Linked DNA regions of Schizosaccharomyces pombe. The protein of the gene in region 1 interacts with the protein of each later gene in a pairwise test. Each region holds a gene or a part of one and is shown in the gene's direction. Other genes may lie near its edges. The genes, in order: asi1 and sfi1.

Evidence for each region.
Region 2: the proteins of asi1 (region 1) and sfi1 interact in a two-hybrid assay, tested with the Schizosaccharomyces pombe proteins (one large-scale study listed by BioGRID).

What each region holds. Positions count from the first base shown.
Region 1 is NC_003421.2:660,929-666,330, reverse strand, and holds asi1 (protein asi1), read left to right. Parts: upstream 1-2,007; 5' UTR 2,008-2,342; coding exon 2,343-3,989; 3' UTR 3,990-4,885; downstream 4,886-5,402. Other genes in the region: peptidyl-prolyl cis-trans isomerase Pin1, read right to left, coding at 991-1,117, 1,263-1,663; hap2 (Ino80 complex subunit), read left to right, coding at 5,150-5,161, 5,207-5,234, 5,287-5,402.
Region 2 is NC_003423.3:1,365,595-1,370,755, reverse strand, and holds sfi1 (protein Sfi1), read left to right. Parts: upstream 1-1,871; 5' UTR 1,872-1,962; coding exon 1,963-2,032; intron 2,033-2,087; coding exon 2,088-4,540; 3' UTR 4,541-4,661; downstream 4,662-5,161. Other genes in the region: isoleucine--tRNA(Ile) ligase Irs1, read right to left, coding at 1-1,598. UniProt on the Schizosaccharomyces pombe protein: Component of the spindle pole body (SPB) half-bridge involved in the initial steps of SPB duplication.

The sequences.
Region 1 (5,402 bases):
TAATAATAAACTCTGATAGCTATACAATTGTTATTTTAATACAACTCATTTTACAATACTAAATGTTCAAGATGAGATTTAACGTTACTTAAAATAATCCCTAATTTAAATTATTATCATTACTATTTTTTTTAAAAAAGAACACTTTTTTTCATAATTCAGGCCCCTACTGTGTAAACACATTTGGATTCCTATAAATTATCAAATATTCCTTTACTAGCTGATATATGGATTCGCTTTATAAAATACAGAAAGATAGAATTTAGTACGAAGTCGGTTCAAATAAATTTATTAAATGGGTTCCAAATGCTGAAGAATTCTACTCACCTCTATAGCGTAAAAAATGGGATGCTGCATTTTCACTTTGCCGGATATTAATTGTTTTATTGTAAATCAGTGCATGGGGTTGGTTAGAGAAAAAAAACGAAAAAAGACTTGTGTAGGTATAAAGAAAAATAAACAAATAAATAAATATAGCATAAAAAAATGACTACAACCATAAAACCTCAAATGAAATATGCAAAAGATAAATTTGTAATTACTTTTTCTAATAAAGTTAACATTCATGTAAAGTAGAAAATCTGTGAAAATTTTTAAAGTGAACAGAAATCTCGAAACATCAATCAGTTACTTTATCATTTTTCATCAAAGCTTTTTCAATCAATAGCAAAGCGAAATCAAATCATTTTGTTTTCAACCTAGGTAGTAAGCTGGCTCGTGTTCATGAATGGGCAAACACTTAAATACTAAGTTAAAATGTATTATAAACGGGTGAACGTCAGAAATAAGGGACATACAAAGCGACAATTGTGAATATTCTCCTTTGGGAAAATGGTCAACAAAATGTAAAAAATCATCAGAAGAGATAAATTTGTGACAAAACAAGACAAACATTTTGTTTGCTTTTTCAAGCATACGGAAAGGGAGTAAGTGAAAATAAGAAATAAAGCATACTCATTAATATTATTAGGTAATTGTTTTGCAAATGAATTAAGCGTGTCTTTGAATGATGTGAAACCCACTGCTCGTTTCAACCACTCCACTAATTTCACCGGGTTTCAAGGCAAACGCAGCGTCTTCAAACGGTTTTTGCATTTCGTCTCTTCCAAATTCGCCTCTACACATAGTGTTAGTAAAAATCGTTCCAGTTGAAAATCAGACTACACTTGGCAAACCAACAAGAGCTTATCACCAAGTGTGGCACCACCATATACTGTCGGTCTTGCGACTCGTATTTAATTACAGTATATCAAAATACATACAATTCACCTCCGCGACGAGCGGAGCTACAATCCGACTCTTTCATGGCTAAATCATGCATGCTTACAGAGCCACTCTTTAGCAATTGTTCATAGTGTTCAGCCAGCTTCCTCGCCTCCTCCTTGCTCCTAGTAATGTGCTCCTCCTTCCATGAGCTGGGACGACGGCTTTCTCGATGCTTTACGAGTAAATGGCTAGCACGAATCTTGGGTGAATTGCTTGCCTCGGTGGGTGTAACTGACTCCTGCAACTCGTTTGCAATGAACTTTTTCAGGGCAGCCATATCAGTGGCAGCCGGAGGCTCCCATAAAGACTCATGCGTCTCAGTATTAAAGAAGTAGGGACGATTTCTGGAGCGTGAAATCTTGACAATCCATGGTTTGGGTAACCCAGTATTAGACATTTTTTTTACCACAACGCTTCTTCAAAAAATGGATTCACTAAGACAGAAAAAATCCTCAACTATAAATTACAAGCAAAACACGTTCAATCTCTGCAATTTGAAGCTTGTTTATTTGCTTTGTTTAGAGTCACGTAGTAGCTAGAGTCGTTTGCCATCTATTATGTAAATAAAGCACATTTGCTATGTTGCTATGTCAACCACCACTAAGGCCTTCGATAGGAAAGGAAATGGGGGCATTCTACCTTTTTATCCCAAGTGGGGGCACTTTCCAAAGTACCAGAAGATAGGGCATACCTTATTCGTCAATTGGAGACAAAACTCAAGGCATGCCTTTTTGCCTCAGCATAAGCGGAACACCTAGCTTGAAAGAGTAAAAAGTCGTAGAGGACTACAAATTCGATATTTATTTAATTAATCAAGAAAAATTGGTGTAATTTGAAGTAGAAACATTTTTTTTCTGGCAGATTTGAGTGGAATTTGAGGAAAAAGGTGAGAAGTTTGGAGATTTCGGATTGTTGAACGAAAATTTGTTGGATTTGAAAATTGTTAGACTTTTGGTGCATTCCTCTTTTCGTTTGTCAAAGTTTACTTAGTGTCGTAGACTGCAGTGAGAAGAGCTCGGTTTTAAGTTTTTTTTTCATAAATAATAGGTTATTGAGGTACAATTCAATTCACCTTAATGCATATTCCACACTTTCATCTTCACAAGGGTCCCAAAGGCGTGCGCACTATATCGTATGAGCAGCTTCTCTCCGAAGATGACTCGTATGCGTCTGAAAAGCTGAGTGAGGACCATGTAACGGAGGTTCATTTTGTTACTGATAAGGACGAGGATTCAAATGCTTCCGGCGAGTCGAGAGGTTCTATGGAGTTGTTGGAAAACTGTTTTTCTTTGCTGCATGCCCAGGACGATACAAGTAAATTTGTGTCATTGACCATGCTTGCAAAATTACTCAATGATCATCCCAATCTCATCTTCAAATGCTGGGAAAGGATGGATATGAAGTTTTTGGACCGCTTGCTCCTTTCCACTCATTACGAGTACGTAGATTTGGGCGTCTCCATCCTTCTCGCTTTCTGCAGTGAAGAAGCCATTTTACGAAGTTATGAAGTGAAAAAAAGGGTTTCTACTTTACTACAGTGTTGTTTGAAACATTATGATCTTTGTATCCCGGTTATATGTACTTTGTCTTCCAACCCAAAATCAGCTAAGTATCTCCTTTACTATACATCATTTATTATCAACGAATTTCCATTTGAACAAGCATTTGAAATCCTTTCAAACGCACTATACGCCCTCGACAACGTACAGACGTATATGCGTCCCATTTTCCAAGGTATCGACAAACGACGCGGATGGAAGTTGGACTGTACTTTCTCGTTTTTTAGCGATTTGTTTTCGCGATTCCCGGTTCAATCATGGTATTCCGAGGCCATTCGTGCTAATCTCCAGCCTTTGATGGATGCGGTTGTTGAACGCTTTATCACCGATAAAAATCTTTCTTCAGCTACCGTTATTCTTTCTAACCTTCTTAAAGCTGCTGGTCCCGCCTCTATTATGCCAAATGATGGGTTTATGATTTTGGTGATTGGTCGCTGCTCTGCTGAGATTCGAGGAAGTCTGGGAATGCTAGTTAAGGCAGTTGGTCAGAAAGGAAAGCATGGAACTGTGTCGTACACGGTTTGTGAATGCTATGAAGTTCTTGGACTCCTCATTCGATATCTATGTGAAAATTGTGACGTTCTTGCCCAAAGAATTGAGCCTGATAAATTTTTCCAACTTCAGCGATCGCTTACTGAGTTGTTTAGCGATACGATGGATTTTCTTCGTGATGCATGGGATAACAATAAAAACCGTGACAATTTAGCATCACATGTAACTGTAATCAGTGCTGTGGCTACCTTGTGTTTGTGGTTGACCGAAGATGACAGCCAATATGCACAAGCCTCTGGTCTTATGGACATATTTGTATATCTGTGGAGGCATAGCTGGTCGAATGGAATTGATTATGCTAAATGGATTAGCGTTGCTCTCCCTTCCATGCTGAGCAACAAGGTTTTCTTTAAAGCTTTTAAAGATTTTGATGCATGGAAAGTTGTTTATGACGATTTTATCAAGTGTAACGATGATTTAAAAGGCGACAAGTCTTTTAACGATTATATACTATCTACGAACGAAGAAGATGGGGAGGATGAACGACTTGCTCAAGCTATTCAAGATTTTCACATTCTCATTCAACTTAACTCTCTTGTTCCACAGTCAATTTGGAATGATGATATTTGGCAAGAGCCATATTGGAAGAATTTGCTTGAATCCAATTTTTAAAAAAGTTTTTGCTTTTAAAACAAATGCCCGCTTTAATATCTCCCCATAATTATTATTTTTCGTTCTTTTTAAGTTTTCTTTTTTTTTGGTCGAAAAAAACATGTCGATTTTTATTTGACAATTATTTAAGTGAAACTCTGCTTCTTTGTCTTTGTTTATTATTTTATTTGATTAATAACTTAATTTCTTGGGTACTTGAAGGGATCTTTAATTTAATACTTGGATTGTGTATCCGGGTTCTTATTATTGCCGTTGTTTTTAAACAATTTCTATGTGCTTTTGTTCATGAAATATTAACTCCTCTATCTTAGACTGGTTTATATTACCAAAAAATATACGTCTAAAACCTCTTTGACCCCTTCTCTTTTTTCTAATTTTCCTCCTCGCCCCTCTTTATTTAATTTCAGCCCACTCATAAATGTCTGTATTGTTTCAATTCAATGCTAGAAGCAAGGTGAAACCCTTGTATTTTTTATTATCTTTTTATCATTTCTGTTTGTTTTTATTTCGTTGTTGAACATTATTTGGTTTCAATTTTCTTTCAGAAGGTTCTTTCTGTTTTATTTCGCTTTTTCCCTTCTGAAAATTATTTTGCCAATGAGACACTGCTTTATTACTTGAAATTTTCTGTGCAACCGGAGCCTGGTTCTGCTGGAAGTATTCGTTTATGACAGTGCATTTATAAAACGAATGACAGATTTACTCTGAATCAGTGGCTGACAATATCATTTTTGAACTTATCCGAAGTAAATTCATGATTCTTTGTTATGAAATGATCATAAATCGTTTTTGAAATATTTGTTCACATGTATGATGTACCTTTGTTTATTGAAATTTGACTTTCGTATTGTAAATGTGAGACATGATCCATTCTTTTTCTACCCAAAAGAAGCAAAAATGTAATATGAATGGATAAGAGAAGTCAGCCAAAAAAGGATTAGCTTTATATTAGACATTTGTTTTTCACTAGCAATACCCAGCTGATGGGTAAGAAAACTAGATAACGGTTTCGGTTCGTATCGTTATAAACCCTTGGTTGCGTAATGTAGTAGGCAATCTTCTATAACGAAGTAAGCAGTTTTTCGTTAAATACAATACAGATTTTAAGCAAACTAGCTTTGCATTCTTCACCAGAAACTGAGAACGTGAAGCTTTCGGGAATGGATCCACAGGTAGGAGGTTTATTACCTATTTGTAATTATTTATTGACCGCGTAGGTGGTAAATTTGCTTCAAGAAACTGAAGGTGTGTACCGATTTTTGTCTGACGACTTTTTGCTAATGAACTCGACGTATAGAGGACGTGTATCGGCGTAAAACCGCAAGGATTCGAAGAAAAGTCTCGGAAATTGAAAAGGAATGCGAAATGTATGCTGTGAAAATTTACAACGTTGAAAGAGACATTCAGCGGTAT
Region 2 (5,161 bases), on another chromosome or scaffold:
GCATAAGGCATGCTGCCAGATTCAAACCAACAGTCAAATACTTCACTGACACGATGCAATGTTCCTTTACCTTTTTTAGAAGGAATAGTGATATGATCAATACTGTCACGATGAATGTCTGTAATATTAGAAACGCCGGAAAGTTCTTCAAGCTCCTTAATGGAACCAATGCAAACGACTTCTTCGTAGTCATCACTAACCCAAAGTGGGATAGGGGTACCCCAGTATCTGTTACGGGAAATGTTCCAGTCACGAGCATTCTTCAACCAATTCGCAAAACGTTTATCACGAATGTTTTGAGGGACCCAGTGAGTGCTCATGACATTTTCAACCATCTCATTAGTGATCTCCTTCACGCGAACAAACCAACTGGGAACGGCACGATAAATTAGAGGTGTATCGGAACGCCAGCAAAATGGATAACTATGGAAAATTTGACTATGCTTAACCAAATGGCCAGATGCTTTCAAGGAGCGGATAATTTCCTTATCTGCGTCTTTAACATATTGGCCAGCGAAGTCTGTGATTTCCGAAGTAAGCAAACCTTGCTCATCAACAGGGCAAGGAGGTTGGTGATCAGCATCGATGATGCCAGCAGCCCAAGCAGCGTCATAATCTGCTTCACCAAAAGCAGGAGCTTGATGGACGATACCAGTACCACTGCCTTCTTCAACGTAGTCAGCAGAATATAATTTAAATGCTCTTTCGCCAAAAGTGCTCTTGAAATAAGGGAAGAGAGGTTCATACTTTTGACCATCCAAGGCCTTTCCTTGGAAACGTTCCAAAATTTCAAAGTTCGCCTTTTTTGGGTTCTTGTAAAGGATGCCAAGGCAGCTCTCCATAAGGATATATTTCTTATTAGAATCCTTGTCCAAAATTTTTATGTACTGTAAGTCAGGGTGAACAGCCAAAGCAAGGTTAGAAGGCAAGGTCCATGGAGTAGTAGTCCAAGCTAAGAAAGAAACTTCAGGATCACTAATGGATTGAAAGGCAACAACAATAGCCGGATCTGGGACTTCCTTATAGTTTTGTTGAGCTTCAAAGTTACTCAAAGGTGTTGTACATGCAGTCGAGTAAGGCATAACACGATATCCGCGGTAAACTTTTCCTTTTGTATGCAACTCTTTGAAAACCCACCAAACACTTTCCATGAAAGAAGGATACAACGTTTTATAATCGTTATCAAAATCAATCCAACGGCCCAGTCTTTCAACTGTTGCACGCCATTCGGATGCATAAGTCATGACAATTTTACGACATTCGGCATTGTATTTGTCAATACCCATAGCCATAACATCATCACTTCCAGTAATACCCAACTTTTTGTCGATTTCATGCTCAACAGGAAGTCCATGTGTATCCCAACCGAATCTACGCTCGACGTGATAACCCTTCAAGCAAGCATAACGGGTGACACTATCCTTAATGGTAGAAGCCAAAAGATGACCATGATGAGGACGACCGGTAGCGAATGGAGGTCCATCGAAAAATGTATAAGTAGGACGACCTTGAGAAAGTTTTAACTGAGTATGGAACGCATCGATTTCGCGCCAAAACTCAACGATTTTTTCCTCTTCTTTAGGAACGTTAAACGACATGCTGAAATACTTTTACGGTAGGCAAAAGAGCTAATTCAGCAATGCTTCCGGAAATCGGTCTTACAAGAAGTTTAGGTGTGGAAGGAGAGGAATATGTACACAAAACAATTTTGTATTCAGATTGATTGCGATCAAATCCGATACAATTTGCTAAAAAATTCAATGTAATTTGGTAAACTGTGTTGTTTGTCTAGCGCAAAGGCTGCACACTGTGATATGTATCTTAACGCATTTAGTCGAGTACAGTAAACAGTTCGTTGATGAACAGAACTTAGCCGTAAACAAACAGATCTTAAAAGTCTTGATTCATTTGGTATTCACTGAGCTTTCTTTGTGATGTGTTTAATAAAAGACTTGTAAGATCATGAGCAAAAATGGCGCTCCCAAGTATGTCGACGGTGGTCGAAAAATCATGGACGAGGACTTGCGTCGTGGTATGAATTTTAATACGAATTTGCTTTTATTTTTTGCTAACTTACTGGCATTTAGATTTAGAAATATTGCGACTAATTTTACTTCGTTTAAGTCACGCAGCTGATGATACCTCCCCTCTTGATGTTTTCAACGCATACGAAAGTGTCCTTCGAGAAAATGGTCTAAATCCTGCGAGGCATCGTTCTTATATCCGTATTCTTTACCGATTGATCTCCTCAAAAAAACTAAGCTGGAATGATGAATGGAGGAACTTGATGCGACGAATCGGGTTCTCACAAGTTTCCTCAGATTTGAATACACCTCTTTTCCCGCTTAATAACACAGATATGGAAAATGATCCATTTATTGTAAATGGTGATGATTATCGATCGAGGAGTAATCAGCAGAAATCATCCCAGTTTGCTAGTGAAGTTGCTCAAACGATCAAGTCGCAAACTGCCATGTTTCGCAGAGCGGACCAATATCGGTCTCAAAAAGACAAAATTTTATTAGCAAACAGTTTAGACTTTATGCTTGAAAAATATCGATATTATAAAAAGATTGATGCCGTCTATCTTCGTAAAGCTGACGCTGTTTATCGAGCCTTTATTATGCTTAAATATTTTCCACGTTGGGTTCAGAAGCTAAGGAACATTCAATCTAGAATATATAGTGCTGGAGAAGCTTACAGATTGATACTAATAGGTCAAATGGTAAATCGTTGGCGCCAGAAGACGAGAGAACGTCTCCATCAAAAATTGCGATTTCAAAAGAATGCGTTTTTGCTAGACGTTTTGCTTAAATGGTCAGCATTAACGGTCAATTGGAATAGAAAACATGAGTATATGTTAAAACGTCGTGTGTTTACAAATTGGATGTCAAAGAGAAGGAGAAATGAAAGCCTTATACAGAAAGCAAATGTGTTTTTCCAGCATTCTGTCCTTGCTCATTCTTTTAAAACTTGGAAAGCAAACTTATCCATCAAGAATGCTGCTACATTATATGAAAAAAAAGTTGTATTTATGTCTTTTAATAGATGGCATGCCAATTACGAGTCACATGTTTTGGATCTACAGAAAGCTGAATTATTCTCCCAAAAAGCTTATTACAGTATCGCTTTACATAAATGGAAACTTCGAATTGAAGAATTATCTGATTTAATGAACAAAGCTGATGATTTATATGAAGTTAACTTGCTGCAACGAATGCTCGTCTTATGGAGACGGAAAGCTACAACTTACGAAAAAATTGATTTTTGGATGGACGGACATGATGTTGATATTGTTAAGTCTGCTTTTTTTAAATGGAAAAATAAATTTATAAAAGTTGACAGGAATTTTGAACTGGCTGATACGATTTTACAAAATACATTTTTGACAAAATGGAGACTGGCCGTGAGAGTTAAGGTAGTCCAGGAGAAAAGAAATAAAGATCGTCTAATTGTCACATTCAGATTTTGGTATTATTTAATGAAAGCTAAGTCTTTTCAACATAAGCGAGATCATAGACTATTAACTATTGCTTGGGAGGCTTGGAAGGACAACTATCAACGAAGAATCAAACTACAAAAAGAAGCTCAAGAATTACAACTAACAAGAATTCAAAAAATCGCTAAGCAATATCTAATCAAATGGCGTATTTCATTATTGGACATTAAAGAGCTATCGATCCGCGCGGAAAAACTTCATACTACTAACGAAATTATCGGTGTTTGGAATCAATGGGTAGTGTCTTATAATCGAAAGGTTGGAATGCAACAAAATGCTGATTTATTTTTCAAAAGAAAGACTTTGCGAGTTGTATTCGAACATTGGCGATACCTTCGTGAGACTAATATGTTATTACGACTGGAAAACAAAGTTGTTGACTTTCGAGAAGTTCAATCAGAAAAACTTGTGCTGCGATGCTGGAATGCTTGGGTAGCGCGGTTATTGTCGGTTTCTCAAATGCTTGACACAGCAGAGCTCTCAACGCAAAAAGTTGTCGTTAGAGCGTACGAAGCATGGTCTTTTCGTTACAATCACCAAAAGGAGATAATGTCTCAGGCAGACCAATTTTATAATGAACGACTAATGCGTTCTGCCATGGTTTTTTGGCGATATCAATTGCGTGCTATAAAATTTTATTTCAATATTAGTGATTGGAAGCGTCGTGAATTTAATAGACAAACGTTGCGAAATGCGTTTGATGCCTGGCATTTGCTGATGTTCCGAGTTACTAGCTTAGTAATGCAAGCGGATAGGTTCCACGAGCAAAAGAAAAATAAATTATTGGGCAAATATTTCCGAAAATGGTTGCAACGTATGCAACTTAATCAAGAAGAATCATCATTACTAGAGGCAGAAGCTACCATTGAGGGCAATCGCACTTCACGCTATATGCATACATTTGATACCACTTTGCCAATGCAAAATGATGAATTCACTGATGAGTCTGTAAATTTTGAAAATCGCTGGAAGCAGGAACTAAAGACTCCCATATCTCGATTTTCCAAGTTTCTGCGGCCTATACCTCCTAATACCCGTTGACATTTACGATTGACGGAGAGAGTTAGTTCTCTTTTTTTTTATCTAACCATTTGAAATGAGTTGAGAGTATATTGATAAACCTTTAGATATGTATAATATAATAGTCATTGCTTTGAAAAGTTTAATACATAGTCGAAAATTCGTGTAACAGTAGCATCAATAATCCTGCAACACATTACAAGTACGTGTGGAATACTTAAAAAAAAAAAAAAAAAACTTTAAGCAGGAAGTGAACGCTTCACTTGATAATTTTAAAAGGACTTTACCAAATCGTTAGGAGAGTAATGCTCCATAAGATGTTCAAAGCAAGTACTACGACTTACAGTAGCAGGCGGTCAAACAAATTTAAAAAAAAAATTTTTTTCTTACAATGAAAAATTTACAAAAATGAAATACGTATAATAAAAAAAAAACTATTTAAATTAATAAAAACAGATTAACAAAGGAAAAAAAATTAAAAACTACAAAGCTTTAAAACAGTGTTTCAGAATAAGTCAAGTGAGAAAGCAAAAACATAAAAATTAATATGCTAAACCCGACATTAAACCAAGGAAATATACATGACAATGATTGAAAAAATTAGGAAATGCAAAACTTAAACCCAATAAACACAATATACCA